7 linked regions of the Macaca fascicularis genome follow. The protein of the gene in region 5 interacts with the protein of the main gene of each other region in a pairwise test. Links are inferred from orthologs where the notes say so. Each region holds a gene or a part of one and is shown on either strand. Other genes may lie near its edges.

Region 1 (4,481 bases), on a different chromosome or scaffold from region 5:
TGGTCTCAGACTCCTGACCTCGTAATCCACCTGCCTCGGCCTCCCAAAGTGCTGGGATTATAGGCGTGAGCCACTGCACCTGGCCTATTTTTCTTTGTTTTGCTATTATGTCTTCTGCTTCTTCACTTGCATTAAATTATAATTAATGTTTCTCTAAAGATGAGTTAAAACCCCAAGTGCAGGCTAGAGTCATAAACACACACACACACACACACACACACACACACACAGAGAGAGAGAGAGAGAAAGAGAGAGAGGGAGAGAGAGAGAGAGAGAGAGAGAGAGAGAGAGAGAGAGAGAGACTGAGTTAAAAAGATCCTTGTTTAGTTTACCAGAATGAATTGGTAGAACCCCTAATCTCAAGTGGTATAGCATCTAACTATGCATAACTTTGCACTTTGAAATAAACTGAGTTCCAGAGAGCACAGATGCTTGGATCTGTTCCTTGGGAGATGGTAAGAATATTTATGTGTATGTATCTGTTGGTGTCTTTGTGACTCTGACAATTCATACTAGTTTATTCAATCAACAAATATTGACCAAGAATCCACCTATGTCTTAAGACACTAGAGTTAAAAGATGAGTAAGATGCTCTCCTACTCTCATTCCCGCTAATGGGGGAAACAGACCTTTACACATATATAAAGAAATAGAGTCAGATCAGTGATGGTGCCATGCATAGAGCATTACGGCACTGAAAAAGTAGGGCGCTCAATAGGGGTATTGAGGAAGAGGCAGGAAAGGCTTTCTGGAGGTGTGGCAACTGAGTTGACTTTTAAAGGGTAATGATGAATTAGCCGGGGGGGGGGAATATAAAAGGCAGTTCAGGCAGAGGGTGCAGCCTGAGATGGTCAATAAGCCAGATACAAAAAGGTAGATATGGTAGAACCACAGATGGGCCTCTCTTGCTGGAGCATAACATTTCAGGCTGGGAGTGGGAAGAAATAAGGTTGGAGAGGTGCGATATAAGGCTGAGATGTAGGCAGATCACAGGAGACCTCATGTGTCAGGCTAAACACTGAGTCCATCAGGAAACTTTGAAAGAGAAAGCTGTGAAATGACATTGTCATATCTATATTCTAGATAGTTTAGTCTGCTGGCTGTTGGATTTGAGGGGGCAGGACTGAAGGCAAAGAGACCAGTTAGAAAGCTATAGCCATAATGTAGGCAAGAGAAGATTAAGCTGGAGCTAGGATAGTGGAAGGATGTAGGAGAGGAGAGGGTTTTGAGAAATACGTGGAAAGTGAAATTATTGGAATTTGGTGACTATTATAATGCCTGGATTAAGAAAGAAGACAAGGAATTAAAGATAACTCCAGGTTTCTGGCATGGGTGACTGAGTGGACGGTGGTACTGCCAACTGGGAGAGAGACTACAGGAGGAGGACAAGGGCCCTCCATACTTGGGTGCCAATCCATTTTCACAGTTGACAATTTACTCCAGTAATAAGTTATCAAGTGTCCACTCATGATTAGCACCAGAAGGAGAGACCCTTTACAGAGGTCCCTATTACAGAGACACTTCCAGATTAATTATGAAGACTGAATAAATAAATTGAATTCCTAGGTCTTAAAAGAAAATATATAATCAAACAAATGTTGTGGTAAAGACTATGTATAATATTATAGGTATTAATTGCTCCCTTAATTTATTCTTCTTGTGTACCCAGTATGAGCAGAGTACTATGTAAAATTCCTTGCCTGTGTTAACACTGTAAGATAGGTAATATCGTCATTTTACAGATGAGAAAACTGAGGCTCAGATTGTTTAGATAACTTATACAAGGGCCAATATACCCAACAGTTTATTAGATGACTCCACTTGGATTCACAAAGGCACCTCAAATTCAATATGTCTAAAATTGAATTGTCAACCCCCCCACAAACTAACTTTTCCTACATTACCTGACTTGATGACTAGTCCAATGTGAGAAAGTGGAAAGAACATGGGCTTTGGGGTCATATAGACTTACGTTCAAATTCCGACTGGCTCTTGCTAGCTGAATTACTTATTCTTTGCCGCTTCTCTAATTGTTTGCCATGACTGAGACCCAGCCCCATGGGGCTCTGAGAATCAGATATCATCAGGCTGAGCCAACACTGGACCAGGGAAGGGAGACATACTTCCTCTTCCTACCTCAGCAGTGAATGCTTAGGGAGAAGTTAGGCTAGAAAGATGTTCTGGTCCAGGGCTGCCCTTCACCTGGGGCCAGGGATTACACTAAGCTTTGTTCTTCTTGCAGAAGTCCACCCTGAAGTTCTTTGAGATGGGGTTTCCTTTGGAACAGACTGCTTTGAGTTTGCTCTTCTGTGTACAGAAACCCTCCCCTGGCTTCAAGGTCTCTCTATAAAGCAGACAGAGAGTAGAATCTGCTGCAGGATGCCCCTGGCATCCATAGCGAACAGGCTTTCAGGGTTAACTGATACCCTCACCCTCTTCCAACATGCCTCTTCCAGGCCAGGGTCTGAAAAACACCTGTGAGGATTGTGACCTGATGGGTTAAGCTCTCTGAATTTCAGTTTTCTTTCCTGGAAAAAAAGGGTTAATAACACTCGTTATCCAGGTTTGCTGTGAAGACTAAACAAAGTAATAAAGTAGTAAAATGTAAAATTCTTTACAAGGTGCTTGAAACATGCAAGGAAATCAACATATATTCATTCTCTTACCTTCTTCCTTTCCTTCCCCTTTCACTGCTGTCTTCTCCCAGATGCCAAACCAGAAATTGGTGAGTCACCTAGTCTCCTTTCTCTCCCTCATTCCCTATAAATGACCAAATGCCATGACCTGTCATTCCTATCTTCTGACCTCTACATGCCCACTACCTCTTAGCTGCGTTTAGGCCCTCATCATTTTCCACTTACTGCTGCAGCAGACTATTCAATTATTCTCCCTGCTCCCAGCCTCATCTCCTTCCAACCCATCCTCCATGCTGTTGCTATTTCTAAAATGCAAATTTGATCGTGTCTCTTCCCTGCTTAAAATTCTTCATTTGCTTTCCATCACCTTCAGGATAAAATCCAATCTCTTTAGCATGTCACACAAAGTCCTTTGTGATCTGGCCCCTATTTAATCACTCTGGCTTCACCTATTCTGTCTCCACTTCCCTCCCCTGACCTAGCACATCACACTTTGGCTCTAGATGTGCTTAAGCATTTAGAGTTTCCCGAACAAGCTGTGCTCACCCACCTCTGAACATCTGCCCTTGTTGTTCCCTCTGGTTGGAATTGCCTCACACATCCTTATTTTCAAACCCTCCTCCCCTCATCCTCCTGATCCTCTTGGTCCTTCAGGCCTGGGTACTGCAGATCACCTCAGTGAGCCTAATAGAGCTACACCTCTGTACACAAATTTGTCACAGCACTTATCACACTGCAGGACAACTGTCTGTTTCTTTCTGACTCTGTCAATCAACTGTGAATTGGTGAAGTCAAGGGCTGCACCTGTCATTTGGGGATCCTTAGGGTCTTATGTACTCCAAGCATATATAATAAATATTTATGGAATGAATAAATGGACTGGGATACAAATTAACATCTGATTTCAAATCCATGCTCTTTTCGTGCAACATCACATGCTATTGTTTGCGAATGAGTACGCTCATTCATTCAATAAATATGTAATGGGTATCTACTTTGTGCCAGGCATTTTGCTAGCACTATCTTCTGAATACATTTCTATTTCCCTTTTAGCTGCTTTCTTTTTTATTTTTATTTTTATTTTTTTTGAGCTGGAGTTTCGCTCTTGTTGCCCAGGCTGTGAGTGCAGTGGCGTGATCTTGGCTCACTGCAACCTCTGCCTCTTGGGTTCAAGCAATTCTCCTGCCTCAGCCGCCCAAGTAGCTGGGATTACAGGCATGCACCACCATACCTGGCTAATTTTGTATTTTCAGTAGAGATTGGGTTTCACCATGTTGGTCGGGCTGGTCTCAAACTCCTGACCTCAGGTGGTCCACCCGCCTCTGCCTCCCAAAGTGCTGGAGTTACAAGTGTGAGCCACGGCACTCGGCCTAGCTGCTGTCTTCCAAAGCTTGTTTTTTTTTTTTTTTTTGAGACAGAGTCTCACTCTGTCACCCAGGTCGGAGTGCAGCGGCTTGATCTTGGCTCACTGCAACTTTCTCCTTCTGGGTTCAAGTGATTCTCCCGCCTCAGCCTCCTGAGTAGCTGGGACTACAGGTGCACACCACCATGCCTGGCTACTTTTTGTATTTTTAGTAGAGACAGGGTTTCACCATGTTGGCCAGGCTGGTCTTGAACTCCTGACCTCATGATCCACCTGCCTCGGCCTCCCAAAGTGCTGGGATTACAGGTATGAGCCACTGCACCCGGCCTTTCATAGCTTTTTAAAAAAAAATTCTGAGACATGACCACTCCGGGAGGCGAGGCGGGTGGCTCACTTGAGTTCAAGACCAGCCTGGCTAACATGGTGAAACCTTGTCTCTACTAAAAATACAAAAAATAGCCAGGTGTGATGGTGGGTGCCTA
Region 2 (4,615 bases), on a different chromosome or scaffold from region 5:
AACTGACAAAAATTCTGCTTCATTTTATTGCTAGAAATCTACATTTGGCATCTTGATCTGTGTCCCACAGAGTGTCACACTGTGTTCTAGTCACCCTTGCAGGGCTTTATGCCCTATTTTTCTCTGCCTCTAACTGTACATCTCCTTAGGTCTCTGCTTTCCTGTTTTCTAAGGTGACTGTGAGCTAATCTGATCAACTAAGCCAAGCTAATGTGCTCGCCAATACAGATACATTAATATGAAGTGTTTTAACCCCTTCCATGAATATCTTCCCCAATGCCATATTGGACTCTATAGAAAGTAGTTCTGCCTTTCCTTTCTTATTACAATAAATTATCAGTGGTGAGAATTTCATATCAGATAGCTTTGACAACACCATGTCAGATCACAAAAGTATTACTGGGCTTGTGGAGACTTTCAGTGTCTCTACAAGAGACACAAAGGAGATTTTATACCTCATAACAATTAATTTCTTGAATTAATTGGAAGTGAAAAATGGGAATGATTATTTGATTTGAATGTAGCATACTTGTTTTCCAACAAATTGTCTTCCTTACCCATGATTTTGCAGATCATAAGTGATTTTCTGTTTGATTTTCCTTTTTGCATTTATGTTGTAATGCTTTATATATCTTTTCTGAATTTCAGTTCTCTAATGGAGTAAGACAAAACTTAGGGTTTTTGTTACTACCTTCAATTATGTTAGTTGTTAATTTTGGGATAGATCAACTTTTACATTTTGTGGTATCATAATAAGAGTTTTCTTTAAAATTAAATTTTGAGACGGATAGTGGAATACAGGACACGTGGTCCTCAAAATGCCTATAACAAATTAGAAAATTGTTGGCAGTCAGCAAATGTTAGTTTTCTTTCTTTTAAATACAAAACACTCATCTTGATGCTGTTGAAAAATTTCCTTACTTTATGCCTGACTTCCCCCTACCCCCAGTATGTAGATAAAGTTCATAAGAACTTTGATAGAAAAACTATGATAGAAATTTTGACATAAGACACTATAGAACAGATGTAATATTTTCTGTTTCTACCCTACTCAAATAGTTTTGCTTTTTCAACATCTATGGGACTGGGCAGGGGAGTTGTAGGGAGCCTTTTAAACAATTTGTATGTCAGGAATGCATAGCAAATATCAATTTCCTGTCTGTTATCCTGTATCATCAATTAAAAAAATTTACTCTGGAAATATGAGCTTTAAAAGTCATAACTGAATTCTTGTTCCTAGTGAAAAGACATCCACCAATCCAATTTTGCTATTACAACATACAGATATTCTTTTACTTGTTCTGGAGAAAATAGAATTTATAACCGCCATCTTTTTAAAAGTGTCTCTTTATCTTGTAAATATACATATTCCTGTACATATTGTTTGAATTCCATTGCAGACATTATTATGAATGGTTCATATATATTTTGATAATGACATATAATGTCAAATCCACTTATAAACATAATATTTAGGCAGAAATCGTCTTGATGAATTAGATGATCTCTAAGTTTTTTCTAGCTTTAATATTAGGTGATTCTAAGTAGCACGTACAATGGACAATATGTATATTATATATATTTAAAATGGATTCTATAGTGAGAAGTTATTTTTGCAGTTAATAAAAATACTTCATTGCAAATCAATTACTGCACTCATTTTCATAATGCAAAACTGTAAGGTTTATTGGTAATAATAATAACCTCCATGGGAACAAAATAGAAAAAAAAAAAAAAAACAACTGAAAGAAAATTTTCACTGAATTTAACAAATATCAACAAACTCTCAGTGTTCTTTTCTTTTAAAACCATTATTTCTGTTCCATTAAATTTCTAAAGTAACCTTTCAAAACAAACATTATTTCTACTTTAAAAATTAAAAACCACCAACAAACCACCGCCACAATAACATACTACTAAGGAAAAGCCTCAAAACATGCCTTAGCGCTGGATGAATATAGTAGTCCTCACTTACCTGAGGTTTTGCTTTCTGTGATTTCAGTTACCCTTGGTCAACCTTGGTCCAAAAATATTAAATGAAAAATTCCAGAAATAAACAATTCAAAAGTTTTAGATTGTGCAGTGTACTGAGTAGCTTGATGAAATCTCACACTATCCTGCTCTGTCTGGCCTGGGACATGAATCATCTCTTTGTCTACCATATCCACACCATACGCATTACTCTCTTGGTTATCGGATTGACTATTGCAGTGCTTGTGTTCAAGTAACCCTTATTTACTTAATAAGGTCCCAAAGCACAAGTGTTGTGATGCTAGCATATTGTTATAAAGCTTCTATTTTATTATTAGTGATTATTAACCTCTGACTGTGTCTAATTTATAAATTAAACTTTATCATAGGTATGAATGTTTAGGAAAAAAACATAGTATACACAGGGTTCAGTTCTATCTATGGTTTTAGGCATCCAGTGGGGGTCCTGGAACATATCCCCCTTGGAAAAGGGGCAACTACCGCACTCCCTTTCCAACTTGGGAGCCAGATCTTCCAACATAAAGTTCAAGGACTCATCATTTATTCCCTTAGTTTTCCCTTCACTCAAAGGAAATTTAAAATTGCAAAATGAGTTCTCCAATCATGGTCTTATTTTAATAGTCTAGAATATCAGGCTAAACATTGCATGTTTACTCTGAATCTGTATTAGTGAAGATGACTGGTGGAAATCACTGAAAAGAGAGAAGGATACACTGTATTTAATTGTCTTTGTAGTAGAGAATTCAAAACTTTATGTACTTTGAACTATTTTAAATTAACACAATAATATATAAACAGTGAATCACTATTCTTTCCCCTAAGGTAAAATTTTAAAAATTATATTATCAAAAGGACTACTTGTGGACTCACTGTTTGGATCTCTGTGCCTGGTGTCCTTGTTCAGTGGGTGAGAATCCCTGTCTACTGAACTCCTCTTGAACTTCAGTAGGTTTAAGCTCAGATTTAAAATCCCCAGATATTGATGACCCTTGCAGAAATAGCTCTGAACAAGTAATAGGATTAACAGAATTAGCAAGACCTATTCATTTATAATAAGGCAAAGCCAAACAAAGAGTAGTCAGTTTATATTTTACAGAACACATTGAATGGATGAGAGACAGAGATCATTATGAGTACTTATTTATCACAGTAACATGAGTTGTATTCATTAGTCCCATAATCCTCTATTGAGCACTTACTTTGTGTGAAACAAGCAGTACCTAGGCACCAGGGTACAAAGACAAGTAAACCCCATTTCCTATATCGTGGGGCTTGCAGTCTAGTGGGGGAGATAGGTAAGTAAAAAGGTAATCACAATGAAGTGCTATGATTACTACAACATTGGGAGGAGTAAGAGAGATACTATGATTTTCATCTTCTCTTACTACAGGCTTTTAATACAATTTTTTTCAGATGGGCTTTGTTTTTTTTTTTTTGTTTTTTGTTTTTGTTTTTTTTTTTTTTTTACAGATCTTGCTTTCTGGATTCTAGTTTTATTGGCATTTTCTCCTTTTCACTTCTCCTTATTGTTTCTGGTTTTTGCCATTAAAAATTCCTTTCCTGCTGTTTTTTAATGGAGTTTTGAGATGTAAGGGAAGTAGATGCATGTGTTTCATCTTTCGTCTTTTCCTAACATCTTTAATTCTTACAACCAAATTCTCATCTAACTTTGCCAAAGTAGGAGATTTAATTTACTCTAAGCTTAAAACTGGAAATTTTTAATTAGCAAGAGGACAAAATTTTAATATTAATGGCAATTAAAATGAATACATTTAGATATTTAAATTATAAGGTTTAGTCATACATAGCTTCACCCAGAAACTTTAAGTAGATCTTAATGCAATTTAAACAGTGATAGTGTCTAAATAAATTTTAATAGTTATGTTTTATTATACTAAATTAATTTGTTATTTATTTACTCTGTTAGTAGGAGGGAAATCTGTCACATTTCAGAACTTTGTTGGCTTATACATTTTTTTATCGTAGAATTTGATTTGAAGAATAGAAAAGAGTACATAAAATTTACAATATTTAAGAGTCACAACCATAAATATTTTCATAGAGATTCTTCCAGAAATCAAAGTATTTTCTAAATTAACTTTCATTTTCATCCTTAAGTCAGATTTTTACCTCGCATTTAGCAGGTTTCATGTTTACCTCCCATTTAGCAGGTTTCCAGTTTGTGTGCTATACATGTGCTTTTCAACAAAGTTTCTCAGGGCAATTCACTTTCAGTTTTTATGAACTGAGTGTTTTTTCTCTAGCTAAAGAATCTAGAATGTAGTCAGGTACAATACAAATGTAACTTAAAAGATGCCTTCTGATGGCAAATGTGAAGAAATTTAATATTTCAGTTTGATGATAAAAAATGTCATAGTGGTTTTAACATTCAAAAATATGTTTTAAGTTACTGTCAAATATAGTGTGGTACTCATATGTTCAAATATGTAATATAGGTACAAGTATAGAGACTTATGGTTAAAAAAAATTACTATAGCAATTCCTATGCTACCGCCACCTTCCCAACACAGATATTTTCATAATTTGCTTTTTATTTTGTGCTATCTCTGGCACTTGTTTACTGGAAGGATTTGGGGTCATTATGGACTTCACACACTTGCCT
Region 3 (3,902 bases), on a different chromosome or scaffold from region 5:
ATTGTTTTAAGAATATTGGCTGGGCGTGGTGGTTCACGCCTGTAATCCCAGGACTTTGGGAAGCTGAGGCCAGCAGATCACTTGAGGTCAGGAGTTCGAGACCAGCCTGGACGACATGGTAAAACCCCGTCTCTACTACTAAAAATACAAAACTAGCCAGGCGTGGTGGTGCGTGCCTGTAATTTCAGCTACTTGGGAGGCTAAGGCAGGAGAATTGCTTGAACCCGGGAGGTAGAGGTTGCAGTGAGTTGAGACTGTGTCATTGTACTCTGGCCTGGGCAACAAGAGGGAAAGTCTTGTCTCAAAATAAAATACAAAAAATTAGCCTGGCATGGTGGCACACTCCTGTAGTTCCAGCTACTTGGGAGGCTGAGGCAGGAGAATTGCTTGAACCCAGAAGGTGGAGGTTGCAGTGAGATCGCACCATTGCACTCCAGCCTGGGTGACAAGAGCGAAACTCTGTCTCAAACAAGAAAAGGAAAAAAAAGAATATTAACACTGTATGAGCATTTAAATATAAGTATTATATACACTGTTAGTGTTACAACAATAAAACATGGGAATAAATGAATGAAATTTATATGAGTGAATTGATAAAGGAGGATCCCTTCTCCAGTAGAACTCCTTATACTTACCTATTTTGGCAAAAAATGTTTCAGTATGGTTAGGAAATGGTCTTTATTTTTTTCTTTTCTGAGACGGGATCTTGCTCTGTTGCCCAGGCTGGAGTGCAGTGGTACAATCATGGCTAACTGCAGCCTTGACCTCCTGGGCTCAAGTGATCCTCCTGCCTCAGCCTCCCTAGTAGGTGGGACTACAGGCATGTGCCACCACACCCAGCTAATTTATAAATTTTTTTTTTTTTTTTGTAGAGAAGAAGTCTCACTATGTTGCTCAAGCTGGTCTGGAATTCCTGGGCTGAACTCCTACCTCAGCCTCTCAAAGTGTTGGGATTATAGGCATGTGCCACCACGCCTGGCCAGGAAATGGTCTTTAAATGGTCTTCATTTTGGTGAAGGATGCCGGGGTCATATATGCCAGGAAACCTGTCTTTCTCCAGGATTCCCAGACTGTTTCACAAGTCTACATGGCCAACCCTTCTCCTCTCTATCACTTCATTCTACTCTCAGAGTTGGGGTGTGGAGGAATCATGTCGTTGAATTTAAAGAGATAATATGAGGATGCCAGTCAAGCCAGCTGGAGTAACACAACAGTGAGCTGGGAGTTCTAGGCCTGGCTCTGACGTGCTGGCTCCAACACCAGGAAGGGATCCTGGCTGGCCATTGGACCTTTCTGGGCTTCTACACCATCATCCAGAAAGTGAGGGGATGGACTAGCTCTCCAGTGCTGGCCTGCAGAGTAATGCAGGATAGGCTGCACTTCATAATACAGATTTCTGGTCCTACGCCAGAGGTTCTGATTTAGCGGGTCTAGGGTAGGGCCTGAATCTCTATTTTAAAAAAGCAATGGAGGCTGGGTGTGGTGGCTCATGCCTGTAATCCCAGCACTTTGGGATGCTGAGGCGGGTGGATCATATGAGGTCAGGAGTTTGAGACCAGCCTGGCCAACATGGCGAAACTCCGTCTCTACTAAAATAAAAAAATTAGGGCAGGGTGTGATGGCTCACGCCTATAATCCCAGCACTTTGGGAGGCCGATGCGGGTAGATCATGAGGTCAGGTGATCGAGAACAGCCTGGCCAACATGGTGAAACCCCATCTCTACTGAAAATACAAAAATTAGCCGGGCATGGTGGCATGCACCTGTAATCCCAGCTACTTAGGAGGCTGAGGCAGGAGAATCGCTTGAACCTGGGAGGTGGCGGTTGCAGTGAGCCGAGATAGCGCCACTGCACTCCAGCCTGGGTGTCAGAGCGAGACTCCATCTGGAAAAATAAAAATACATACATACATACATACATACATACATACATTAGCTGGACATGGTTGTGGATACCTGTAATCTCAGCTACTTGGGAGGTTGAGGCAGGAGAATCGCTTGAATCTGGGAGGCAGAGGTTGCAGTGAGCCAAGATGGCGCCACTGCACTCCAGCCTGGGTGACAGAGTGAGACTCCATTTAAAAAAATAAAAAATAAAAAAAAGGAGTGGTGGATGGGTGATCTCCAGCCCTTCTTATAGCTCAGTCTAGGACTCTGACTCTGTTCCCTAGATACTGCAGAAGTTTCTTACCTGAATCCTGGGATCATCTTAGCAAAGCCAATGACCTTCTGGATGCTGTAACTGACCAGGTCAGCCAGGTGGGGCAGCATGGAAAGCTGGGACAGCTCTAGAGTCAGAGAAGGGTCATCTGAATCTTCTTCACTCAGATCCAGGTTGGAGAAGCTGGACGAGTCCATCATGTCTGGGGGAGATGAGGGAAGAGAAGGAGCTATTTAAGGGTACTTGGACCAGGACCACTCCTGCCAGCCCCTGCAAAGACCTGGTGTGCCCTGGCAGGAGAGCCAGCTGGGAATCCCGCAGTGATTCCAGAGGTCACCCTTCAGCCCAGGCTTCCCTCTGGGACTCTCTCTGCCTCTTTCAGCAGCGTGAGACAGTAAAAGCAAGGAGCCAGAGACACTCAGAGCAATGAGACTTCCTCAGGCAGACCATGTGCTGTTCCTACGGATCTCAATCAGAAATGAATTTGGGACCCATCAACCCATGGAAAAAAATGTTCAACCTTGCTAATGATCAAAGAACTGCAATGTAGAACATCTACACTTTTCACCTATAAACCAGAAACAAAAATGTTTAAATACTGATGCCAGTATTTATAAAGATGTAGGAAATAGGCAATGCCTATGAGGGCTGGGGTGCTAAAGGAGATGCACATTACTGCAGGTAATCTAGAAAGCTATTTGACATTAGTGAAACAATTGTGTGTACTCTTTGACCAGTAATCCCACTTCCCGGAATTCATTGTAAGGGAAAATTTCAGATAAGTGTAAATATTTAGCTATAAGTATACTGTTGTCTTACTAAAACACTGGGAAATAATCCAGATATCCAATAGTAGGGGATTTAGGTACATTATTGTATTCCAAAATACTGTGCAGCCTTTAAAAATTATGTTCTGGATGCATACTAAATTGTAAGGAAAAACAATGCAATATTAAAAAAACAAGTCATCAGATTGTATACAGCAAAATTTCTTTTCTGAATGTACATATGTGTTTTTAAAAAAAGAGGCAAGAGATATATTACAGTGCTAACAGTGATTATCTTTGGGTAGCAGGATTAAAGTATATATATATATATAATTTAGTTTATGTTTTCCAAATGTCTAAGATGAACATGTATTACTTTTGTATAATAATTTTTTTAAAAAATAAAAAGGTTAACTTGTTTGAATTTTTAAATAAATATATGCTATACTGAACACACCACTTGTGGGGAGGGCGGTTTAAGCACCTTGAATCAGTGAACTTACAAGAGGGTATCAAAAAACTCCTAAATAGGCAGGGCGCAGTGGCTCATGCCTGTAATCCCAATACTTTGTGAGGCCAAGGCAGGCAGATCATCTGAGGTCAGGAGTTCGAGACCAGCCTGGCAAACATGGTGAAACCCCATTTCTACTAAAAATACAAAAATTAGCCAGGTGTGGTGGTGGGTGCCTGTAATCCCAGCTACTCTGGAGGCTGAGGCAGGAAAATGGCTTGAACCGGGGAGGCAGAGACTGTGCCACTGCACTCCAGCCTGGGTGACAGAGTGAGATTCTGTCTCAAAACAAAACAAAACACAAGCAAAAACAAAAAACAACAACAAAAAGCCTCCTAAGTAGTATAGAATTACTATTGAAAGCTGAAATACAGAGCAACATATGGATTAAACAGACTGGCCTTAATTGATATAAATAAATATGCTATCAACTGAAAAGAGCAGGAAGGTGAGTACAGAAAAGT
Region 4 (3,902 bases), on a different chromosome or scaffold from region 5:
GTCAACGAGGGAAGGAGCTTGAGGATCTAACCAGAAGGAAGCATCCTCCAGCCATCAGGACACGAAGGGGCCCTCAGAACACTGCATTTCCTTCCACTCAGAATGTAGCTGCACTAATCTCTCCTCAGAATTTCTCTGGAAGAAGACTGAAATTTTAGCGTATCTTTCCTTGATTAGAATATTTGATCCATAGAGAAATCTGTTGTCAGCTCAGCAAAGATACAACCTGGATAAAGAAGTTCGGGAGCTTGGGAGATGACAGATCAGATGCCACAGAAAAGGGGTGCCACCCTGTGAATAGGTTTGATTTCTGTAAGTGTTCTCTGAGCCTAAATGGGAAAGAAGCCTTCCTACTGTGAGGTAATACTATGAATTTTTGGAAACCATAGAATCACTGACATTGGTGAAGATTTCTAATTTCTCTGGGCTCACTGAAAAAAATTATTTTCCTTGTTGGCCTCAATCAGTCAATATCTGTACATCCTTGAGTCACACCCTTGTATAACTTGAATTAAATCTAATAAGGGTATAAAAATGATATTGGAAGGACAACTGATTTTTTAGGACACAAATATTCCTGTGCATTCCAAGTTACGCTCCTAGGAGACGATAAAGAGTGCTGGAAACAGCATGCTCTTGAACAGATGCAAATTTGTTCAAGTCTTTCCCTAAAAGGCTGAAAGCCACATCTAACTAAACGTGGTCTGTACTCTGCTAACTTCAGCCCTGCACACATCAGGATTGGGTGGAGGTGGTCGTATTATCTTGGTTTTAAGGCTTCTTTAGTGTCCTGCAGCGCCATTTTGCTGACTCGAGTCTCGGACTGGGGATGGGTGGGAGCTGGTGATGCTTGGTGCTGGTGAGTTAATGATTGTCCCCCACCCCACCTCCACAACCGTAAAACCTTCAGAGCATTCACATCAAAGGACCGGAGAACGAAATGCAATAGTTTCAAGTACCCGCATTCAAGGGGCAATTTCATCCATGTCTATGCCAAGGACTACTTCCCTTTTCCCTCCCAAATAATCCCTCCTGACACAAAAAAACAAACAAAAAAGAGCTAGGCAATGGAATGAAATGACACCCAGTAGTGCTGTAGGAATTATGAGAATGAATCCAGTCAGTCTAATCCTCGAACACTTCCAAGAACAAAGGGGGGAAGAGTTCCGTGGGGCATTCCACCTTCATGTGCAGGAAGCGGCTGGCATGGCAGGCTCCTATCATCCGCAGGTCTGTCACCTTCATCAGGAGTTTTGGCCAAAAGTGTGTCACGTGGTGTTTTCGGTAATTGATATAGTGTTCAAAGGCCAGCAGGAAACTATCTTGGTACTTTTCTATTCTCTCAACACAGGCGAGCCCCGGGCGATCTGCGGGGAAGAGACAAGATGGACATTGATTCAGAGATGGAAGAGGGAAGGCTTGCTTTGTCCAATTCCAGGCCTTTAGTGGGAGGCGGGCAGATCTAGGGTCTTCCCTCTTAGCCATAAGCAGGGATGCAGCGTGAACTCTGGTGCTCCAGGGACCAGGTACCAGGGGAGTGGCATCATTTCTATGAAGAGAGGCAGTACTTTGTTCAGATAAATATCTCTGTTTAGATCACCTTCTTGGGTGTGAAAGGTGATGCCCCCTCCTAGGGTATAGGAGGAGAAGGCTGACAGCTGAAATATTCTGCAAGATGAGGGGAACAATTTTGAATTTTCACTGGCTGCCTGGGAGAGGGGAGAGGACTAGCATGGACATGCATAGAAAGGGGAGATATATGAAGGGACTGGGGACATTGCAGCAGGCCTGAGGCCAAAGGAGGAATGCGGAATAGTAAGACATTTCCTTGAGGACCAAGAAACACCATGTTTAACTTTGTGTTGTCTTCCAGGCTGCAATGAACTGGCCTTTCCCTTTCCTTATGCCTTTAGTAAAAGTGCTACCATAGCAGCCTTGTTTTACACATGATTTTGGAATTGAAATGAAAAGAAAAGGGGAGGGGAGCTGTGCCAGAGTCACCCCATGCAGAGAAGAGAACAGCTACAGTGGGAGCTGGAGTGAGAGGACACCGGGACCCTGGAAAGCCCAGGAAATCTTCCCAAGTCCTGCATAGACTACTGGGCTTCCCACAGTATGTGGCAGAGGCTCAAGTCAGTTTCCAAAAGTGATAAACAAAGGGGTGACACAAGGAGGCTGGACAACTGGGGAATAGCTGGGCTGCAGACACTTGGGTGACAAAAATAATCTATAAACCTGGATGAATTCCTCAAATAGCTCCAGGAGGCCCAACACGCCCCTGCTCAGTTCTCTTCAATTCAAATGAATTCACACTTCAAAGGTCCAATTCTGGAGGTGTTTGTATCAGTAGGAATCTAAACAGGGTTCTGCTTCATTGGAAAGGAAGAATCAGGGCTAATGTCTCAATTCGCCCTTCTGAGTCTAAACAAACTAACAAACCATACGGGCTTTTGGAATCCCCTATTTAGCTCAAATGGAAATTTGTACATTTTTATCTTGTGTTTTCCTTCATATTTGATGAAGCTGCTCTGTGGATTTGCTGGTTCTCCCTCTCCCCTATCTTCTCTCTTTCTTTGAGTGTGCAAGAATTTTCCACAGGATCCTTTAATTTTTAATCCAGATAGAAGATCAACATATTATTGCTTCGGATGTATTGTTTCAAAGGGAAAATACAATGTGGGTTTTGTGGCTAATGCCACAAAAGAGATAAAGATGAGATGGTCACATAAGTGACATAACGAGTACGAATTGACATTTTGTTGATGCTTGAATCACACTGAACAGGTTTATGAAGAGAGAAACATTTTAAAGACTGAAGACCATTTTAACTCCTTAAGACAAAAGTTCTCAAAGGAATGTCTTTCAGATCATTTTCATTTTTTCTTTTTGCACTGCAGGACCAAGGAACTTAGAAGTAGTGGCTCTTGGAAAAGTCTTTGAAGAAAAAGTCTAAGATATTGTGTAACTGAAATGGCACACAAAACAGGGGGCTTAGAACATCAGGCTGCAGAGGAATTGGAGACTTGGGGCTCCGACAGGCAGCTATCATTTGCCAAATGCACAGTGTCTTGTAATATTTTCCTGGTCCTGGCAGTATTAATGAAGAGGGTCCACATCACTAGGGAGGGTGGGTTGTGAAAAGTTATTAAGTTGTCCTGTAGCTGTCAGGCAGTGTCAGCCTCACAACGTGAGAGAACTGGGAAGAATCATTCACTTTGGTGTTTGATAGCGTCTGGCATCACATTCAGTTTTTGCCATCTCCACCTACTTCTCCCTTTATCTACCTTACTAAGATGATTTGCTTAATAATCTGTGAAACTGACCCACTAAAAAGGAAACATCTTATTATTCAGTAATAAAAATCCATTTGACGTACATAAGAAGATAACCACAAAAATGGATGCATGGCAAAAGCCTTTGTTACTCTGGAGCTGAAGGTTCTGCTGCACATTGCTCCTGAGATCCACTCTCTCTTTGTTAAAAAGGAAGGTTAGTAAGTGTTAGAGAGGTGTTAAAGGCAGACTAGCACCACACTGAGTCTCTCTCCTTCCCTTATTTGGAAGGAGATATAACCAGGAAGAGAAAACTGTCAAAGAAATAGCTTTCTCATGGTGTGATTCAACATTATTTAAAACTGTCTTTGTACCTCTAAAATCTCAGCTAAAAAAATTACCATGAGTCCCTCCAGAAATATAATTCCTGTGTATGTAGCTTAATTTCTTCATTTTAAAGGTCACTGAAGCCCGGAGAAGCTAGGGGTCACCCAAAGTCACACAGGGAGTGTGTGAAGAGAAGCTTGGATAAGCTATACATTTTATTTCTCCGAGAATAATTCTCCGAACGACTGTGGGCCCCATTTCTTGCTGCTTGTCGCTGGAGACCACCCTCAGCCCTAGATGCTG
Region 5 (4,553 bases):
TCAGGCAAGAATGTGCTCAAAGCATGGTAAATAGAAAAAAATTGCCTTTAGAGGATTTCAGGGATGTGGATGTTTCCGTATAAAGGGGGAAGGAAGAGAAAGACTCCTATTACCTGCCTACAACGTTCTGTTGTGATGTCCTCCTGGAGAGTCACCACATTGGGGAGAGGCTTGATTGGAACCAGGTCCACTCCTGGAATAAATCAGGTCAGAGTATTCTAAAGGGTTGCCTCAAGCAGGGAGGAGAGAAATACAGGACAAAGTACTTTATACACCGACCCCTTAAAACATCAAGGAGAGCTGTCCGTTACTCACCCACAATAAGGCTGGATACAGGCATAAACTTGGCAGCTACCTGCAGCCTATAAAAGGAATAGGAATTTAAAAACCTACAGCCATCCTTGTCCCCCTCTTGGCAACTGACCTCTCATCCCTGGTGTTACGTGCACTGGCCAGAACATATCATAGGCACGTATTCCAAGTCCTTTCTCTGCAGTCAAGAAAGGAAACGGCCTCCAAGGGGACCGGGATTCGGGATTCCTCTCCCGCAATGAAACTGGAAACCATCGCAGCTCAGAACACAGAAAGCGGCCACCAGGAGCAACCTGTGGCAAGTGTTACGAACCATCCCCCTGGCGCAGCACACAGGTCCAGCAAGGCTCGGGCTTTCTGCAGGAACTGAAAGCGGCGATTGAGCTGGATCAGCTTGAAAGCAGATCGGGAACGGTAACCTGGACAAAACAACCAAGTGCGCAGAGGGCTTCACCATCACCAGCAGGATTTCTCCAGCCTCGCAACCCACTACCCCTTCTGCAGGAGAGGTACACAATGGTCAGAAAGAGCAGGCGAACCGGGCAGAGATCGCTCGCTCGCTCGCACGCAGACTGAGCGAATCTGGACTCACCCGTCTCCTTCGCCAAGTGATAAAACTTGTCCCGTCGGCTCTTGCCAACTTTGCCCTTCTTGCCCATGGTGGAATGGGGGAGTATCGCTCAATCTGGGGAGAAAGTAGAAGTTGAGGACGTCTCTTTCCGGATCACCAGATTCCTCTTTCAGTTTCCCACTTCCCGCAGCAATTCCACTCCGCTCCCCTCTCCGCACACTCTACCTAGACCCACGGCCGCTTTCTCCACACTCGGAACCGCACATGTATGCAGCAAACGTACTTCCGCTTCCGCTTGCGTCCCTGGCTCGAGGTTTTCCGCCATTTTGAGTGTGGCCATAGATTGTTCTCGGTACTCTGTCCTCGGATTTTGTAAGTTGAAAGTTGAGACTAGGAAGGCACATTACAAGAACTACAAACATAGTTTCAATGAGGCAACATTGAGGAGTTCTGCTCCTTCCTCTTCCCCCTCCAAAGCCCCTGAACTCTCGTAGCCGCCCCTCCCATCATGGTCCCCTTAGTTAGTGTGGTCTGGCCGCGCACCCCGCCCATTGACCCGGAACTCTTCTCTGCCTGGTCTTCAGGTCACAAGCCTCCGCTTCCGCGCCTGCGCGCAAAGGGGACTCGGATGCCGGCGGTCTCTGCTGAAGAGAGAAGATGGCGCTTGACGGGCCAGAGCAGGTATGGCGGCTGCAGTGGCGGCCCGGCAGGTTACGGGGCTGGGTGCGGAGCGAGCGTAATCTAAGTGGAGAGCGGGCCGGGGCAGGAGGGTTGGGTGGGTCGGAGGTGGCTGGAGTAGTCCAGGCTGGACGCTGCCTGCGACTGGATCTGCTGTGTCAGCGCCGCCCTCGGTGAGTCAGGGCAAGGCTGGGAGAGGAATACGCGGTAGAAGCGGAGTGAGTGAGGGGAGCGATGGGCGCGGGAACGGCCGGCCCACGGGTCGCAGGAGACGGGACGCCAGTCCTTCGGCTCCGTTCCGCTTGCTCCGTCGGCAGTAACGACACCTCGGGCTTGTAGAGCGCTTCACGCAGTGCAAAGCGCCCCCGTGTATATCATATCGCCTCTCGGTCCTCCTAAAAGTCGTACAAGGTAGGCGGCGTTCCCATTTTTTTATTTTAGTCGTGGGAAAATGGAGGGTTCCCAGGGAGGGAGGGATTAGAACCCAGATGCTGAGCCTCCGAAGTCCAAACTTTTTTTACTACGCAAAGCTACCTGGTGTCAAACCTTATTCAAAGTGCCCTGCAAGTGGCTTTATCCCCTCGGATGTTTAACCTGTCGTTTAAGACTCACTCTGTGTCTTCAGATGGAACTGGAGGAGGGGAAGGCAGGCAGCGGACTCCGCCAATATTATCTGTCCAAGATTGAAGAACTCCAGGTGAGGACGGACTTCAGAGAGAGCTAGGAAGCGGGATGATGGGGGATGGAAACGGACTTCCACAAATCCATCTAATTCCACTGGGAGTGCAGTGGAAGAAGCTGCTGCTTCTCCTTTCTTGTTTGTTTCTTAGCTAGTAGGGTGTGTGTATCAGAAGTAAGCAATCTCTTGTTCTCCTCCAGTCCCACCCCTTTGAGGGTCATAGTGTTCACAGTTTGTTAAACATTTTCAAGAGTCAAATCTTAACAGAAAAGGTACCTCTAGCCAAAGGTCAGCCCTTTTGGAAGAAGCCCGAATGAAAAGGATTCTTATGAAAGGGAAACAAGCTCAGGAGATGAAATTTATCACCAAGAGGTTGGGTGAGGGTGAAGTGAGAATGTGAGGAAAGGCATCATTGAGGCATCTGGATAATGCTAATTCCATAGAGACTGAATGAAAGAAATTGGGCAACCCAGAACGCTAGCCTAAAGCGCTAAACCATAGAAAAAGGACCGTTTATGTTGTTAATGAAATGTTTATGTTTACCAGTAAGGCTTCCAGCAGTAAGGTGTGACTCTCAGTAGTAGGTATGGCTTCCAGTAGTAAACATTACCAACAACATAAACAGTAGGCTGTTAGTGTTAACAGTGTTATGTTACAGTAGGCTGTTAGTAGTTTAACTTTGGACAAGTCCATGTATTTTCAATTTCGTCCTAATCCCCTGCGTTGTTCAAGTGTCATCTGTAATATAAATTGGATGGGGGAAAGCCACAAAGAACAATTCTGAATTCCAAGTGCATTTGCAGGTATTATGTTTAGTTAACCATTTTGGAATGCTTTTTCATGTGTTTTTATTCGTTCACTTCAGTAGTCCTGAAAAGGAGCAGGGCAGCTGATGCTATACCCATGTGCCATTTGGTAACAGATCTAGATTTTTTAAAATAGATTGCCTGAGCTTTACCTTGCTTTTGATTGACAGCAGCTGGGCTAGAACTCAGACTTCTCACCTAACACTCTTTCCACTAGGTGATGTTGCCTTCCTGTGAGAAATTTGGTGTTACATGAGCCAGCTGTAACTTTTCTCCATTAGATTCTGTTATTCCTGGACCAGAATTGGACAAGCAGCCTTCTTTGATGGCTGCCATAAGCTCCAGAGGGACTCTTGGAGGACAGGGCAGGGTCATTAGAATCATACTGGAGAATCTGAAACAACACACAGGTGCCCTGTGCCCTTCCCTCAGCTCATTCTGACCTGTGAGGTCTTGGCCAAGATCCTACCTCCTCCTGTCTCCTGCCCTTGAGTAATGGAATTTGTCTCTTGTCTGCCACAGCTGATTGTGAATGATAAGAGCCAAAACCTCCGGAGGCTGCAGGCACAGAGGAATGAACTAAATGCTAAAGGTGAGTGGGGAAAGATGGGAAGCCGCATGTGGGCAGTTTGTCTGAGGTCTGTCCTAACCTCCCTGCACAGTGTCTTCACAGCAGTGCTTACTGTTTTCTCCCTGTCATCTAGTAGTTTCACATGCATCTCTTTTTCCCGAGCTCCATTGTAGCCTCCTTAAATACATGAATTTTTATCTTTGGTCTTCCTTTAATAACTTAAGAATGATGCTTAGCTCATGCATGTAGAATTGGGTCCTGGAAACTCCAAAGGAGTAGCTAGGTGACCACTGTGTCTGTTTGCCATCTAGTTCGCCTATTGCGGGAGGAGCTACAGCTGCTGCAGGAACAGGGCTCCTATGTGGGGGAAGTAGTCCGGGCCATGGATAAGAAGAAAGTGTTGGTCAAGGTAAAAGCAGCATGACCCCAGGGACCAACCAGCTCAGTCTGCACTGGATTCCCACCCCTTTGTGTGTAGCCTTGGGAGACAGGGTTCTGTGTTCTGTCAAGGTATTGTGGGATTCTCGAAGGTCTTCCTGGGTAGGGTTAGTGATTTGGTGGCTGTCAAGGAAGATCATGAGCTCTTCTTTCTTTAGGTACATCCTGAAGGCAAATTTGTTGTAGACGTGGACAAAAACATTGACATCAATGACGTGAGTGTAGCAGGTGAGGTGGTGGTGGGGTCAGCTCTTATTTCTTATTGTACCACTTCTGAAACTCACCCCCTTCACCCAGGTGACACCCAATTGCCGGGTGGCTCTAAGGAATGACAGCTACACTCTGCACAAGATCCTGCCCAACAAGGTAGACCCATTAGTGTCACTGATGATGGTAGAGAAAGTACCAGATTCGACTTATGAGATGATTGGTGGACTGGACAAACAGATCAAGGAGATCAAAGAAGTGATCGAGCTGCCTGTTAAGCATCCTGAGCTC
Region 6 (3,254 bases), on a different chromosome or scaffold from region 5:
GGGGAGGGAGGCAATGGCAGGCAAGAGACATGTTTAAGCCCCTTGGTTATTGAGGAGACTGCAAGAGATAAATTGTTCTTTCAGCCTTGCTCCGGTGAGGTCTCCCTGCCTCCGTCTGCTCACTGATTTCTGCGCCTTTTTCACCTTCCCTTTGGCTGAGTGCTGGCAGCGTTGGTTTGACTTGCAGTGTTAGGCGCCTGCTTAGAAAGTCTGTTTAGTTCAAAGAGTTATTAAGCATTTGCCATGTGCTAAGCATTATGATAGGCACAGAGGAGACAGGGAAAGAGAGACCCCAGCTAAGGAGCTGAAATCTAGGGTGGGAAGGCAGACAAATTGGACCATTTTCCTGCAATGTGGTAAGTGCTACACAGAGGAAAGCCCAAAAGAAGGACCTTAATCCAGATGGGGGGAGTTAGGGAAGTAGTCTTAGGAGAGGTGACACTAGAGGGTAAGAATTAGGAACGGGAAGAGGGAAACAACATGCACAAAGGCAGAGGCATGTGACCGCATACAACAAGAGTCACAGACAGTCACTCTTATAAAAGCATGAAGTGCACATTAGAGTCTTTGATAAGGTTCATTCTAGAAGTATCGGGAACACAAATTGAGGGCTTCACCCAGAAAACATTCACCTGTCCCCCACCCACTCTCGCTTCCCTCCAGTGTCCTGAACACACTCGTACTTCTACCAGTGGGATTTGGCTGGTACCAAAGTGCCAAGTACATAAGGGGAAGGCAAGGAGGGTTGGTCCTAGCCCAGGAAGAATGAGCAGACTTCTTTGCTCTGAGGGGAGCTGAAGTATTGACCCTCCCTTCCCCATTAACCCATATCCAGCTGCCACCCAAGGGGAAGCTTCGGAGCCTGTGTAGCCAGCACGTGGAAAGGCTGCAGATCTTCCAGCACCTCCACCCCATCGTGGTCCAAGCCGCTTTCCCTCCACTCTACAAGGAGCTCTTCAGCACTGAAACCGAGTCACCTGTGGGGCTGTCCAAGTGACCTGGAAGAGGGACTCCTTACCTCTCCCTATGGCCTGCTGGCTCACCTCCCTGGACCCCGTTCCACCCTCGGCCTTTTCGTTTCCCATGAACCCTGGAGGGTGGTCCCCACCAGCTCTTTGGGAGTGAGCAGATGCTGCGACTGGCTTTCTGTCCGCAGGCTGGCCTGGCAGTGGGACAATCGCCAGAGGGTGGGGCTGGCAGAACGCCATCTCCAGCCTCAGCTTTGACCTGTCTCATTTCCCATATTCCTTCACACCCAGCTTCTGGAAGGCATGAGGTAGCTGGGATATAAGGACTTCTGGGGGACCAAGCCATCCTCAAGAAAACAGGGGCATCCAGGGCTCCCTGGATGAATAGAATGCAATTCATTCAGAAGCTCAGAAGCTAAGAATAAGCCTTTGAAATACCTCATTGCATTTCCCTTTGGGCTTCGGCTGAGGGAGATGGATCAAGCTCAGAGACTGGCATTGAGAGCCCAGAAGGACCCGTATAAAATGAATCTGGAGCTTTACATTCTCTGCCTCTACCTTCCTCCCAGCTCAACAAGGAAGTGTTTGGGCACCCTACCCTTTTCCTGGGGTCTAACCAAAAATGGATGGGATGAGGATGAGAGGCTGGAGATAATTGTTTTATGGGATTTGGGTGTGGGACTAGGGTACAATGAAGGCCAAGAGCATCTCAGATATAGAGTTAAAACTCAAACCTCTTATGTGCACTTTAAAAATACACTTTAGGGGCTGGCACAAATCTGATTAGAGTCACATATCCATACACAGGGGAAACACACATAGACTCAACAGCAGCCATGCAGTTCCAGAGACACATGAACCTGACACAATCTCTCTCATCCGTGAGGCCACAGTTTGGAGGAGCCTAGTGGCCTCGGGAAAAGTCCCAATCCTGAGGGACCCCCCAGAGATTTCCATGGTGCTCCGGTCCACTGATCTTGGGCCTGGGGTGATCCAAACACCACCCCAGCTCCAGCTGTCTTCTACCACTAGAAGCGCCAAGAGAAGCAGAGGTGGCTGGCACTGGCCAGTCGGAAGGCACGATCAGACCTTGGAGGACTTTGCTGGCCTGCCTGCTAGCCCTGCTCTTGTTGTGGAGAAGGAAGCAGATGCGATTGCATCACCCTGTCATTGGGCACCGCTGACTCCAACATGGAGGACACCAGGGAGTAGGGCCTGGGCCTGTTTCCCCAGCTGTGATCTTGCCCAGAACCTCTCTTGGCTTCATAAACAGCTGTGAACCCTCCCCTGAGGGATTAACAGCAATGATGGGCGGTTGGGGGGTTGGGGGTGGATTGTGTCCTCTAAGGGGACAGGTTCATCTGAGTAAACATAAACCCCAACTTGTGCCATTCTTTATAAAATGATTTTAAAGGCAAGAGGTGTGTGTGTCAGGGGGTAGAGGAGATCCTTAAATTAGATTACCTGCATGCCTGCTCTCCAGTCTCATTCCTGGGTCAAGACTCAGATTTCCAGCTCAGCAATCCATCAGCATTATACAGATCCAACCCACCCTCACCCCACCCATGCAGTTTCTCCCAGGTGGAGCAGTCCCTCAGTGAGGACTGTGAATGAATCCTCAGGAACCCCCACTATAGGAGCCTCAAACTGAGCTCCACAGGAGATGCTGTAGACTGAGAACTTCCCATAAATGATACCCACAGGGAACGTTTAGATTTAGAGGTTGCACAGAATTGCTCCACATCTGGGAGACCAAAAGACAATCCTCTGGAAGGTGTCTGGCCTGAGCTCCCCTGTGGGGAAATCAGGATGTCAGAGAGATCCTCTAGAGCCTGCTGCTCTTGCTATTGCATGACCCCTCCCTGGCACCAGAGCCTCCCTCCTGGATCCCTCCCCTGTCACTCGCCAGCCTGTAGTGGTGCTTGCTGCAGCCCTCCCTGGTTGCTTTATTTATTTATTTTGCACCAACAGGGTTGCTGCAGACTCATTCTTGCCTGGTTTAAAAAGAGAGAGAGAGGAAAAAAAAAAAAAAAAAAAGGAGAAATGCTTTCTGGCTCTTTTCTCCACCTCAGTCTTGGCAGCAGCGGCCGCAGCAGCAACAGCAGCAGCAGCAGCGGCAGGCAGCAGCCGGGCAGCCAGGCAGCGGGGGTTGAGGCACACAGGGAAGGTGCAGGGGCCTGAGGTGCAGCTCGAATGGGACAGGGCCCCCAGCGCTGAACAGATGCAGTGCCAAACTTGATGCCACCTTCCAGCTTCTCCGGTAAGTGCCCGCACCCTCTGTCCCGA
Region 7 (4,490 bases), on a different chromosome or scaffold from region 5:
GCCGTTCACAATAACGCTTTTAAACCAGCAATTATTTATACTGTACTACTCGAGAAACCCTATAATTATTCTGAAAGCACTTGCCAACGTCTACCCTGTTTCATATTTGCCAACACAGCCTTGTTCAAAAGAATTAGTGGCGATGTCAAAATTCTGCTTGGTACTAGGGTTACTGCTTGAAACAAGAAGTGATTACACGATGTTGGGGTATTCAAGGAGAATGGGGCCAATAAAGTACCCTAAGAATGAAATTGTCTTGTATTCATATTCACAGGTGGGAAGAAAAGGAAGGTGGTGGTTGAAAGGGAAAAAAATTGCTTGAATTTTTTTTCCTTTTTTTTTTTTTTTAATACTTTCCCAAGAAATACTGTCATCTGTTGAGCAAAGTGACTTTAAGAAAATGGTTTTTCAAATGCTGGAAATGGTAGTGATTTGAAGGAAAAAAGATAACCCACTTCTCCCTCTTCCCCACTCCTTCCTGCCTGGAAAATGTTTCTATTTCCGGCCTTTACTCCTGATATTTGTAAGTGAATCTGGGTAGTGACTGTAGAACCTCGGCTTACACATCTCAAAACACCCATCTGTGCAGGTCACTTGACTTTGCTGACCTATTTTCTGCTGTTTCTTTCTGTTACACAAATCTCCCCCACTTGAAAGAGCAATAGTCCCTCTACTTTCCAATGAAGCACAGACAGCAGAGAGATTTCTCACTCTCTGTAAATGCAGAAGCTTTTGGAGTGTCTGGCATTTCAGGTGAGTGTTTAGGAAAAACCGGATGTCATCCTGGGTGTCTCTCTCATCTTTATTTCATGCTTTCTCTTTTATAAACCCACCCAATTGTGGACAAGGGGATCTGTGTTCCCCATCGCCAAGTGAAAATACATTCTAAATCTACCCTCAAAATTGAGGGTGCTGTGCAAAGTTTCATAAATAGAAACAGGCAGGAGAAAAATCTGGCTTGACAACTTCTGAATTTAAGCCATTTATTCTCACCTCCACCCCATTTCTATCCCGCCTCTTCTCTTTTTTGAACACGTCATGTAAAAGCAGAGAACTAAGGCAGCTACCTAAAATAAACTTTGTATTACTTGTCTAAATATTTTAGGGAAGTGTTTTTCCTATTCTGAGTGTCCAGGCTATTTTCTCAGTTCTCGTGTTCACTCTGCAGGTGAAGATACTGTCATTGACTGGGGAATGTGCCTGTGGACCATAACCCAAAGGCGGCATCTTTTGTGATAAAAGAGGTATAACCCTGTTTCATGAGTCTATTGGCCAGGAAAGAGATCCTCTGTGCCTGGAAGTTCACGGCTTCCCCTTTCTCTTCATCATTTCAGGTTCTGCGGGAGGCTCCATCTTTGATTCAAACCTCACTTCTTCCTAAAAGCCTTCGTAAATGAAGAAACCTTGCAAATTACAATAGATGTTTCCCCTCACCATTCATGTATCTAGTTTGTACTTCCTTATCTTCCTTTTGTGAATACAGTGGCTTGCCATTTTGCCTCGAGGAACACTTGTTTGTCCACCCCAATCCAGTGATAAAGGAGAAGGAAAAGATTTATCAGATCATGTATTTATGCACAGCACATCCCCAAACGCTTCAGCAGCAATAAGTACCCAAAAAAGTACTGTTTAGGTAGCCAACTCCCACTGTCTAATTTAATCCCACTGAGACTGGATGTGTCTTTTTCTCCTTTTGTTCTAAAGAAACTTCTACTACTATTTGCTGGCAGGAATAACTTTCTGCCACCTGTAGTACTCTCTGCTTCTGTGAAGGCTGAACTTCAAGTTGCTGTGAAAGAATTTGCATTATCCCTCTATAGTCATACCTAAAATTAACCCACTGTCTTAAGTTAAATAAGATCTAGAATGCTCACAACTGTTATGGTTATCCGAGAACTAGAGAGTGGGGCTTTCTGGCACTACAAGAGGATGTAGAAGATGACACATGTGGTTTGGCCTTTATTTGGAAGCAGCAAAAATCACAGAGGTGGTGGTTACAAGACAAAAAAGGCCAGGGGAGTGAACACAAAGTTTTGGCTGAGTTACTTTGTACTATTATGTAATGAGATACAAGTTCAGCCTTGCTTGAGTTTAAATAACCATAATGAACTGTTACAAACTCTGGGATGGAGACATTATAAACATAGGAAATTCTGTACTTGGTCCTCCAGTTGGTCAAGTCTACCTGTATTCATAAGGAACACATTCATTCCCTTGGGCTACAAGAGAAACATTCTGCAAACTGGAAATAGAAGTTACTCTCTGGATAGTTTTCTCAAAGAATATAATGAAGTAAATCCGAACTTCAGAAATCTCTGTGATCATGTATTTTAGAACATCACCAGAGCAAATAGCAATGAATCTCAGCTGATTAGAGCTTTAGTAAGTAATTGGGATAGCTGAATATCCAAATAGCTGGATTTTTATCCAAGTAAACACATGAAAACAAAGACGGCAGTTATCATAAATATTTTTAAAGGAATATTTCTAAATTATGACATATTTCTCTTCTTTTTAGAGAATTTTGAATAGAATTTACTTTCCTGATGATAAACATTCATCAGAAATTTTATTTTAAAATTTATTAGAAATTTGGAGAGCAGGATGTCTAGCCTCTGAATGGGAACCTTAGTAGTGCCAATGATGAAAGAGAGAATTAAATATGGGTGATGTTGAGAAAAGCAAGATTTTTGTCTAGAAGTATGCCCAGTGCCACACTGTGGGAAAGGGAGGCAAACACAAGACTGGGCCACATCTCCATGGTCTCTGGACAGAGGACAGCTCAGGCCTTTGGATTCACTTACACAGACGCCAGTGAAAACAAAAGCATCACCTGGGGACAGGAAACACTGATGGAGTATTTGAAGAATCCCAAAAAGTTCATCCCTGGAACAAAATTGATCTTCACTAGCATTAAGAAGAAAGCAGAAAGGGCAGACTTGATAGCCTATCTCAAAAAAACTAATGAGCATTAATTAGTTGGCCACTGCCTTGTTTATTACAAAACAGGAACATCTCATGACTTTTTAATGTGTACCGTGATTTAATAGATCTCATATACCAGAATTCAGATCATTAACATCTGACAGAATATTTTTGTTGGGCAGTTCTGTTAACTAAGACTGGATTGTGGTTAAATGAGTATGTTCGATGTTTCTTTGAATTTTGATAGTAATTTTGATTCAGTAACTGCTGTCAGTTTCCCCCTTCTGAAGATATGGTTGGACTTCATTAGTAATGTTCAACTTTTCATAAAGATGAATACCACCTTAAAACCTATTGGAAACTGGTTTTATGTTTAGATTTATATAACTAGTTATGTGAATATATTTAAATACTGGGGAAATTCCTTCACTGTCTCAGAATCAAGCAAGAGTCACCTGTATTTTGTGTTCTTTTGCCTCTTACAGGCAAGGGCTGAAGATAAGGTAGCAATGTCTACTTTATATTTTTGGCTTTGACTATGCCAATCTAATTAGAATTCCCTGTATCTAAAATGGTTTCCTTTACTTATAGAAAGGTATTTTAGTGTAGACTTTAGAGAAGTGCAATATTTAGAGTGATATTGTACACTAAAGTGTGATAGTTGAGAAGAGTTAAATATTTTTTATTTGATATTACACTTTGGCATGTACTGTAATATCAAATATACTTTATAAATAATAAAATCTTATAAATAACAAAATCTAATAAAAATCAAATAAAGAAATTTAATATTACACACCAAAGTGTAATACCAAATAAAGAGTATTTTACTCTTCTCAAAAAAATCTACTAGACACTTATGAAAAAAGTATTAAATTATTGTTTACGCTATAATGCTCTGAAGGCCTTCTAAGATTTATATGACATTTTGGCCCAACACTAAGTGCCCTGGTTGTTTTCCTTTTTATGTTTTTTCTTCCTCCTTCAGCTATTGTTTTCCTTCTTTCTGTAGTCATATGCTAGATCTTATGAGGCCCTCCCTCTACTTGTAATTAATATTTTGTCTTAGAATTAGCTATGTCTTGGAACCCAACCAGATAACTAAGCTTGTGTAAAAACCAATTATAAATAGGATGTACTGGGTCTAAAGAGATTTTCTCTGAAATCAAGTGCATGCACTGTAGTGCTTGAACTTTGGGATTCTGTTTTGGCAACCTAAAGGCCTATTTGCTGACTTCCTAACTTCTCAGATGGTTTGTGACAGCGAAGGTTGCGAGAGGACAGATCCATCACAGGTGAGCTATTGCTGTAGTAGGAAGGCAAAAAAGGTAATTGAAAGACCCCGTTCTTCAAATTACCAAGAGAAAGATGTCGTGCAGGGAACAGGACAATCACCTTTCTGTTATTTGCATTACGGCTTGATAATTATCACAAGTACATTCAGTGTGAGAGTTTCTCGATCTCTTCTCAATGCCTTCAAAAAGATATGTTATAAGACATGGCAAATTGATTATTTACTTAAGCAAGGCCAATGTCACGTTCCAAAAATATTTCAAAGCCAAATA

What was found.
Region 1: the proteins of PSMC5 (region 5) and NR1I3 interact in a two-hybrid assay, tested with the Homo sapiens proteins (2 studies listed by BioGRID). The link is inferred for Macaca fascicularis from reciprocal best matches to the Homo sapiens genes PSMC5 and NR1I3.
Region 2: the proteins of PSMC5 (region 5) and PDC interact in a two-hybrid assay, tested with the Homo sapiens proteins (2 studies listed by BioGRID). The link is inferred for Macaca fascicularis from reciprocal best matches to the Homo sapiens genes PSMC5 and PDC.
Region 3: the proteins of PSMC5 (region 5) and VDR interact in a two-hybrid assay, tested with the Homo sapiens proteins (2 studies listed by BioGRID). The link is inferred for Macaca fascicularis from reciprocal best matches to the Homo sapiens genes PSMC5 and VDR.
Region 4: the proteins of PSMC5 (region 5) and THRB interact in a two-hybrid assay, tested with the Homo sapiens proteins (3 studies listed by BioGRID). The link is inferred for Macaca fascicularis from reciprocal best matches to the Homo sapiens genes PSMC5 and THRB.
Region 6: the proteins of PSMC5 (region 5) and RORC interact in binary tests that used the Homo sapiens proteins (3 or more experiments, as listed by UniProt). The link is inferred for Macaca fascicularis from reciprocal best matches to the Homo sapiens genes PSMC5 and RORC.
Region 7: the proteins of PSMC5 (region 5) and RORA interact in a two-hybrid assay, tested with the Homo sapiens proteins (3 studies listed by BioGRID and IntAct). The link is inferred for Macaca fascicularis from reciprocal best matches to the Homo sapiens genes PSMC5 and RORA.

The regions. Positions count from the first base shown.
Region 1 is NC_088375.1:99,834,012-99,838,492, reverse strand, and holds the start of NR1I3 (nuclear receptor subfamily 1 group I member 3), read right to left. Parts: upstream 3,127-4,481; 5' UTR 2,667-3,126; intron 1-2,666. UniProt on the Homo sapiens protein: Binds and transactivates the retinoic acid response elements that control expression of the retinoic acid receptor beta 2 and alcohol dehydrogenase 3 genes.
Region 2 is NC_088375.1:43,957,311-43,961,925, forward strand, and holds the start of PDC (phosducin), read right to left. Parts: upstream 2,930-4,615; 5' UTR 2,863-2,929; intron 2,018-2,862; 5' UTR 1,976-2,017; intron 1-1,975. UniProt on the Homo sapiens protein: May participate in the regulation of visual phototransduction or in the integration of photoreceptor metabolism. Inhibits the transcriptional activation activity of the cone-rod homeobox CRX.
Region 3 is NC_088385.1:54,596,318-54,600,219, forward strand, and holds part of VDR (vitamin D3 receptor), read right to left. Parts: intron 2,363-3,902; coding exon 2,191-2,362; intron 1-2,190.
Region 4 is NC_088376.1:24,227,201-24,231,102, reverse strand, and holds part of THRB (thyroid hormone receptor beta), read right to left. Parts: intron 1,368-3,902; coding exon 1,126-1,367; 3' UTR 1-1,125.
Region 5 is NC_088390.1:70,332,895-70,337,447, forward strand, and holds the start of PSMC5 (26S proteasome regulatory subunit 8), read left to right. Parts: upstream 1-1,509; 5' UTR 1,510-1,511; coding exon 1,512-1,564; exon of another isoform or gene 1,565-1,972; intron 1,973-2,167; coding exon 2,168-2,258; intron 2,259-3,568; coding exon 3,569-3,638; intron 3,639-3,928; coding exon 3,929-4,026; intron 4,027-4,213; coding exon 4,214-4,270; intron 4,271-4,352; coding exon 4,353-4,553. Other genes in the region: pre-rRNA 2'-O-ribose RNA methyltransferase FTSJ3, read right to left, coding at 114-193, 316-362, 626-731, 905-971.
Region 6 is NC_088375.1:109,391,495-109,394,748, forward strand, and holds the end of RORC (nuclear receptor ROR-gamma), read left to right. Parts: intron 1-835; coding exon 836-997; 3' UTR 998-2,386; downstream 2,387-3,254. UniProt on the Homo sapiens protein: Nuclear receptor that binds DNA as a monomer to ROR response elements (RORE) containing a single core motif half-site 5'-AGGTCA-3' preceded by a short A-T-rich sequence.
Region 7 is NC_088381.1:37,072,687-37,077,176, forward strand, and holds the start of RORA (nuclear receptor ROR-alpha), read right to left. Parts: upstream 2,973-4,490; coding exon 2,805-2,972; exon of another isoform or gene 1,511-2,804; coding exon 1,435-1,510; exon of another isoform or gene 1,335-1,434; intron 1,245-1,334; exon of another isoform or gene 1,169-1,244; intron 1-1,168. UniProt on the Homo sapiens protein: Nuclear receptor that binds DNA as a monomer to ROR response elements (RORE) containing a single core motif half-site 5'-AGGTCA-3' preceded by a short A-T-rich sequence.